Arabidopsis thaliana: one gene and its partner. The protein of the gene in region 1 interacts with the protein of each later gene in a pairwise test. Each region holds a gene or a part of one and is shown on either strand. Other genes may lie near its edges. The genes, in order: AT1G78410 and WRKY26.

What was found.
Region 2: the proteins of AT1G78410 (region 1) and WRKY26 interact in a two-hybrid assay, tested with the Arabidopsis thaliana proteins (one study listed by BioGRID).

Annotation. Positions count from the first base shown.
Region 1 is NC_003070.9:29,500,581-29,504,630, forward strand, and holds AT1G78410 (VQ motif-containing protein), read left to right. Parts: upstream 1-2,001; 5' UTR 2,002-2,147; coding exon 2,148-2,474; 3' UTR 2,475-2,918; intron 2,919-3,153; 3' UTR 3,154-3,358; downstream 3,359-4,050. UniProt on the Arabidopsis thaliana protein: May modulate WRKY transcription factor activities.
Region 2 is NC_003076.8:2,202,532-2,206,558, forward strand, and holds WRKY26 (WRKY DNA-binding protein 26), read left to right. Parts: upstream 1-1,716; 5' UTR 1,717-1,781; coding exon 1,782-1,934; exon of another isoform or gene 1,935-2,076; coding exon 2,077-2,202; exon of another isoform or gene 2,203-2,281; coding exon 2,282-2,634; intron 2,635-2,731; coding exon 2,732-2,860; intron 2,861-2,947; coding exon 2,948-3,116; 3' UTR 3,117-3,280; downstream 3,281-4,027. Other genes in the region: AT5G07090 (Ribosomal protein S4 (RPS4A) family protein), read left to right, coding at 201-278, 387-567, 655-752, 846-1,274; PRA1.B6 (prenylated RAB acceptor 1.B6), read left to right, coding at 3,590-4,027. UniProt on the Arabidopsis thaliana protein: Transcription factor. Interacts specifically with the W box (5'-(T)TGAC[CT]-3'), a frequently occurring elicitor-responsive cis-acting element.

The DNA of each region.
Region 1 (4,050 bases):
TTCAAAGTTAAATTCCAAAATGCTGAAACTCAAATGGACATAACTTACCCCAGTCGAAATAGTTAACTATATATTACCGGCGGTAAAAGCTGAGATAAAATAACTAATCTGTTCAAACTTTGTATATACTTAATTTCAAAGGCGATCAAATAAAAAACAGTCAGGTTCCTGAGTCAAGATTTGTAGTCAAAACCTTACTCTGATCCGTTATAGCCAAACTTGACTTTCCCTTTGTATGTTCATCAGTCTATTAATATTGATATCAAAACTGTACGTACAATAACGTACTGCACCAAATTTTATCAACAAACAAAAAATAGACTATACATAATTACGTATCAACTTCTAAAAGTTGTAGTGTAGTGATAAATGATAACGGATTGATTTGTATTTACCTTAAGGCTTAAACTGATCCATATATAATTTTATTCTTCATATGAAAATTTTGGTAAAGCCAATATAATTTTTGTGTGGTTGGTAACAACTGAAAATAATTAGGGCTATCGCAAAAGTACAACCGTACAATGAACTAATTTGCAATTTCTGAGAAGAATTTTGTTAGTGAAAGTCTGAGTCAACAAAACAAAAATTCAGGGAATTGAATGAATGATTGGGTCCCTTTATGAAACTCCCCATGAAACATCGTATGTAACTATCAGTGACTTCTTGTGCATCATGCTGAACTTCTAATCTCTTTTTTTTTTTTTTTTTTCTAATCTCTTTTAAATAGTAAAATCTACAAAAATATGATCCATTACTCATTTATATCAATATTTAAAATAAAATAAAATCTATATATCAATATAATTCAAGATGCAAACATTTAAAATTTACCTTACAATGATGTGAGTATATGTTACCTCCTATTTTTTATGTTTTAAACCGTATAAAATTTTCATATGCTGTTGGCTGTGGAAAAAGGGAAAACATGGTTATTAACTAAAAGCCCCATTTGGGATGTTTTGATTAGAAATTTTTATCTTGAAAAAATAAACTAAAGCCATTAGTGTTTTCTTTGTCGATGGAAAAAAAAGACATCACCTTTTGAAGAAAAAAATGACATCACCTTACTATTTTCTAGAAGCATAATCAAAGACGATTATATTTTGTCATAACGAAATAGTGTGGGGGGACGTGCAAAATTCTACTCACGTGTAAATACTTGGTAAGTTTTCAGTAGTTTTTTCTTAGGCTGTTTCACGTGATGTAACAGGATTTCATCAAAGAAGGCGTGCTTTGACCCAATCTAATGAAAATACACTATGATTTTTGGTAATTTTAATACTTTTGATGGTGATAGTGATATATAAATTTTAATGTTTGGTCCTTCAAGGCTGCTAGATTTTATTAACGGTCAACATGTCTTAATGATCAAAGGTCCTATCTATGCACAAAGCCATGTGCTTTTCGATTGATCTCAGTAAATGTTGAATGATTGTTGCTTTGTATAACAAATAGTTACCTTGTTTAATATTCTCAACAATAGGTTATAAAAATAATTATATGTAGTTAATCTTTGATTTTAAATAATTACTATTAAGTTATTTTCTTGCAGTTTCAAAATTGTTTTAAGTTTACCGTTGCTGTTAAATTCTAAAGAATATACAGAATGCAGTAATTGTTTCATCAACAGATGTATAAAAAGTCTTTAATTAGTCAAAAAAATTCTTCATTCATAAAATTCATTGGTAAGCATTTCTAGACTAGAGCCGTAAATATTTTCGGCCAATATAATAATTAGGAAAATATTTATTAGGAATTCAACGAATATGATAAAAAACGTTGGTCGTCGAAAATGTATCATGACGTCAGGAAGAAAAAAAACAAGAAAAAAATAGGTCGTCACATATGTTTTCATGTAGGACAAGATTACGATTATAAAATCGTTTCAAAAAGAATACGAAAAAATTTACTTGAATGAGTCACTTCAGTACCCCACAGAGATTATATCTTTCTCTCTTTAATCTCTCTATAAATACCTAAGTATGCAACTATGCATATAAATCTACAAAACATCTGAACACCCAAAGACACAGGAAGAGAGCTAAAGCTGATATATACTAAGTACTAAGATCATTTGATCAACCTAATCATCAACACCACAAAATTTTCTTTTCTTGTTTCTCTAATCGATTAATTTAGTAATAATGTCTGGAAGAGGGAAAGTGAAATCGGAGCCGATGAAGGTTGTGTTCATTAACACACAGTATGTTGAGACAGATGCTCGTAGCTTCAAGACCGTTGTTCAAGAACTCACCGGTAAGAACGCCATCGTCGCCGCCGGTCCTTTTGATTCGCCCTCTGCTTTCGACGGCCGTTGTTACGATGGCGGTAGTAAAATCGGTGAAGATACCAGACAGCTCCACGGCGGTGGCGGCGGAGGAGGACGAATGGGGACGACGACGGAGTTCGATAGATTATTCAAAGAGATGCCTCACATGGAAGAATTGTATAAACTATGGTCAGAATATTGAGTCATTAATAATTTCTGTGCAATGATTTTTAAATCATTCGTTTTCTTCCAAAATCTTTTCTTTTTTATCTAATGAGATAATGTTGTTGTTGATTTGATTTAATCATCTTAACTGGATCGTCACTCTTGAGATTAGGTCCAATAACGAATGTTGTGTTTTGGAAAGTAATTATGAGTTACCTTTCAGTACGGCCCATGTCTCCGAATTTTAAACGGGCTTATTATAGCTTTCATATGTTGTTTAAAAGGACCATGAAGCCCAAGTATATGCGAGATTAATACTTGGTTCTCTTATTTTCTGTGTATTTGGGTTTTAGAACCAATTATCAAAACAAGAAGTGTGAGTGTGTGACAAAGGCATTGAAAGCGACTAGCAGATTAAGAAGTCAGGCCTCAACTATGGGCTTTTCTCTATGGGGCGTCTTTGCTACCCAAGTCCAACTAGGTATTACTTTTTTTTCCATATTTTTTATATATTTATATTTCATGTTTTTCTTTTCTTGCAAAATAATGTTTTTAACTAAAAGAATTTTGATTTCACTAAAATTAGTAATTTCACTAAAAACTGTTTAATTCTTGTGACTATTTCACAATTTTTAGAATCCAACATGCGATACAGTTCACAACAACCAAATGAAGCATTATATGAACTAATCTTCTTGTGTTTATATATAAAACAGGTTTTTGTGTAAGTGCGTAAATGGCTGAGGCAAATAGCAACAAAACTCATGGTTAACCTTCTCTAACCAACCTTAACCAATTTTGTGTTGGGTGAACCATTTCCTTTCATCAACCCAAAACACACTCACGATTTTAATCGTCTCATCTACAATTCTTGTTTTATTTAACGTTCTTTCTTAATCTAGCTTTCTGGTAGTTATTTTCAGGGTTTTTTCTGGTATATAGTTGGGTTGATTCAACGATTATCCGAAACATTATACGTCAACATACAATACAAGTCTATTAAAAATTATTAGCTAATAGAAGTAGAACCTACTAAGCTATATTGTCGTCAACAAGAACCATTTTTAAATTCAATTAAATATAACATTAACGCCGACTAATCTAGTTTATGAAATATCACCAAAACTTTGAACACATAATGAGTCTCGTAACACACCAAAGATACTAACTTCTTTATTTTTTTCCATTAATAAATTTGATGGTAAATTACGAATATTGGACTATACAATTATGCAAATGCGACAAACAAAGATACAATTAAAGAATAAAATGTTAAAAAAGACATTATTCTGATCCAACTCGGTGCTTAAGACAAAACCGCCTTCACAAGATTTCGTATATTCTAATCCTTTTTTGGTCAACAAACAAAAAAAAACATAAATAAACGTAACGACGTCGTTTTACACGAAAATGAAAAACACACGCGAAGAAAGAAGCGCGTGGAGAGGAAGAAAGAAGCAAAGAGTTGGATTCTTTGGCTCGTCTCTTACTCCATCGTTTCCTGTTCCCTTTTAGCTTCTCCACATCATCACCATCTCTCTCTCTCTCTCTCTCTCTCTCTCTCTCTTCTGAGATTTTTCCGTCGAAATATTAAAAAGAAATTTGCAGATACA
Region 2 (4,027 bases), on another chromosome or scaffold:
AGGACAATGGCGACTCTAGTTTTCTCGTTTCATGCCGTAGACCGTACCTGTAAATGTTTCAGACTGCGATGTTGTATTTTTCTTGACAATTGAGCTTCTGGGTAGTGTACTTTTGACTAGGCTCTGTCAAATGTGATAACTTTTTATTGATTGAATCGTCTGTTGTTTTGACCTTTTATATATCAAATGTGATTATGCAGGCAAGAGGATTGAAGAAGCATCTAAAGAGGCTCAATGCTCCTAAGCATTGGATGCTTGACAAACTTGGTGGTGCCTTCGTAAGTTGTTTGTCTCATCAATCTTGTGTTTTTAAGACAATTCATTACATTTGTTCTGTAATGTTGATGTGTTTGTATCGATCATTTTTATGCTGTTTCTTGTTGTAGGCTCCCAAACCATCTTCTGGACCTCACAAGTCGAGGGAGTGTCTTCCTCTTGTCCTGATCATCAGGAACAGGTTGAAGTATGCTTTGACTTACCGTGAAGTTATCTCTATCTTGATGCAAAGGCATATCCAAGTTGATGGCAAAGTCAGGACTGACAAGACTTACCCTGCTGGTTTCATGGGTATGTCTTTTTTTTTTTCCAGTTATGTCTGCCCTTTTTGTCGTATGTATTTGATCACTGAACTAAATTGCATTATGGTTTGAATAGATGTTGTATCCATCCCCAAGACCAATGAGAACTTCCGTCTTCTCTACGACACCAAGGGACGTTTCCGTCTCCACTCCATCAAGGATGAGGAAGCAAAGGTTTGTTGCACTCTCTTCTTAGATCTTGACTGGAATTAGAACTAGTGATTGGAATTAGAAGATTGATTAGTCTTTTTCTGCTTGAATGTGCAGTTCAAGCTTTGCAAGGTTAGATCTATCCAGTTTGGTCAGAAGGGAATTCCATACCTGAACACTTATGATGGTCGCACCATCCGTTACCCTGACCCGCTCATCAAGCCAAATGACACCATCAAGCTGGACCTTGAGGAGAACAAGATTGTTGAGTTCATCAAGTTTGACGTGGGTAACGTTGTGATGGTGACTGGAGGCAGAAACAGAGGGCGTGTGGGTGTGATTAAGAACCGTGAAAAGCATAAGGGAAGCTTTGAGACAATCCACATTCAAGACTCAACAGGGCATGAGTTTGCCACAAGGTTGGGGAATGTGTACACAATCGGCAAAGGAACAAAGCCATGGGTGTCTCTTCCAAAGGGCAAAGGTATTAAGCTGACCATCATTGAGGAAGCCAGGAAGAGACTTGCTTCCCAGCAAGCTGCTTGAAAGTCCAACTGCTTTGAATCATCAAGACCCGTTTCTTTTACAGACTCGCTGCTTGTCTCAGTTTGTGAGTCTATTTCTTTTCTTATGTTGTTGGATTTCAAAACCCATCAAAAAATAGCTGAGTAGTGCTTTTTGTAATGTTTGTATGGTGGATTTTTTGGTGATTTACCGTTTAAATCAGATGACAGTTGGTCCACTCCTTTGCTTAGTCTTCTCCTTTGCTTTGCGCTATTAGTTGTTGAGAGATGAGTAATAGATATTATTTTCTTGGCATTAAGTAATCTAGAAGAAGACCTCAAGGACTCCTGAAAGTGATGTGAATTCAGCCGCCTTACACAAAAAAGTCAAACATTTTGGTGTTTTGAATACACACGCTTCACACTTGGTCACAAGCTTATCTTTTATAATTGCTTGCTTTTCCTTGGAAACATCCTTTCCTTCTATCCAACTCGTAATTTAATATAGGAAGAAGAAGAAGAAGAAGAGTACCTCATACGTAAACCATTGATGGGCTCTTTTGATCGCCAAAGAGCTGTTCCGAAATTCAAAACAGCAACACCGTCACCGCTCCCTCTTTCTCCTTCGCCTTACTTCACTATGCCTCCTGGCCTTACTCCCGCCGACTTTCTCGACTCTCCTCTTCTCTTCACTTCCTCCAACGTATCTATCTATCTCCTCCAACGTTTCAAACTATGATTGTTTGTCCTTATCTTGGAATATTGAAAGAATTCAAGGTTCTTGATTTGTCCATTTCCCTTCTTCTTCTCTCATATCATCTTCTTCTTTGATCTTGAAATCACAGATTTTGCCGTCTCCTACGACAGGCACATTTCCAGCGCAATCTCTGAACTATAACAATAACGGTTTGCTCATTGACAAAAATGAAATCAAATATGAAGACACAACTCCTCCCTTGTTCCTACCATCTGTAGGATCCATTTTTGCATTTTTAGCTTCTGCTTTATTATCTCTTAAGACATTCTAGTTTTAAACTATCTCATTTTCAGATGGTAACTCAGCCTTTACCTCAACTGGATTTATTCAAATCCGAAATCATGTCGAGTAACAAAACCTCTGATGACGGCTACAATTGGCGCAAATACGGGCAGAAGCAAGTCAAAGGAAGCGAAAACCCGAGGAGTTACTTCAAATGCACGTATCCAAATTGTCTCACAAAGAAGAAAGTAGAGACGTCTCTTGTGAAGGGTCAGATGATTGAGATTGTCTATAAAGGAAGCCACAATCATCCCAAGCCCCAATCCACGAAGCGATCATCTTCCACCGCTATAGCAGCACATCAGAACAGCAGTAATGGAGACGGTAAAGACATTGGTGAAGATGAAACAGAGGCCAAGAGATGGTAATTAGCAGACTCATAATTAAGTAACTGAAACCAAAAGGATGAGGAGACAATGAGATGTCTGATTGGATTTGTTGTGAATGGCTTATAAATGCAGGAAAAGAGAAGAGAATGTGAAGGAGCCAAGAGTGGTGGTTCAGACAACAAGTGATATAGACATTCTTGACGATGGCTACAGATGGAGAAAGTATGGTCAGAAAGTCGTCAAGGGTAATCCAAATCCAAGGTGTGGTTTTATTTTTCTCTTGTCAATTCTGAATGAAAAGGAGGCTTGAAGCTTGAGCTATAAGTTAGTTAAATTTGTGATGTGCAGGAGCTATTACAAGTGCACATTTACAGGATGTTTTGTAAGGAAACACGTTGAAAGAGCATTTCAAGATCCCAAGTCAGTGATCACAACTTACGAAGGAAAACACAAACACCAAATCCCGACCCCAAGAAGAGGTCCAGTTTTAAGGTTACTTGGAAAAACAGAGACATAAAGAGCAAATGAGTTTTGGCATTTCAGCATTCCTATTGTAATCTTTCATTCATATATAGTATGTTTCCTTAATCATGCGCCTATACACACATAACTGATCAGGACTAGGCAGAGGCTAAAGTTCCAAGCTTCTCCATCATTTTGCCCCCTATGTTCACTACCGACGATAAATCTTTATTCAACTGTTTCAAGATATTAAATCAAACATACATCACACCAAGTGTTTGACATGATGATGATGGAATGGAATGGATGGTGGCAAATGATGTGATAAACACACAAAGGCATACACATAAATGTATATTACTACAAAGAGCGGAATATTTTTATGTTTCTTTAAAAAGAAAGAAAGACGCAAAAGCACATGTGATAGTAGCCGACAGTTTGAAGTAAAGCCAGCAAATCGTGAAAGCCATTTACTTTTAGATCTCTCTCTGCACTCTCTGACTTTGTCCGCAAAGTAGATCTGCTGCAATGGCTTCTCCTCTTCTCCCAACTTCGACTACTCCTGATCAACTTCCCGGCGGCGATCCACAGTTGCTGAGCTCTCTACGCGTCCTCTTGTCCCGCGTTCTAGCCACCGTCCGTCACGCTTCTGCAGATGCCAGACCCTGGGCAGAGCTCGTTGACCGGTCAGCGTTTTCCCGGCCACCATCGCTCTCGGAGGCAACGTCACGAGTAAGGAAGAACTTTTCCTATTTCCGAGCCAATTACATAACCTTAGTGGCAATCTTACTCGCCGCGTCTCTGCTCACGCACCCTTTCGCTCTCTTCCTCCTCGCATCGCTGGCCGCTTCTTGGCTTTTCCTCTACTTTTTCCGTCCGGCGGATCAGCCGTTGGTCATTGGAGGACGCACGTTCTCCGATCTTGAGACGCTAGGGATACTCTGCCTGTCCACTGTGGTGGTGATG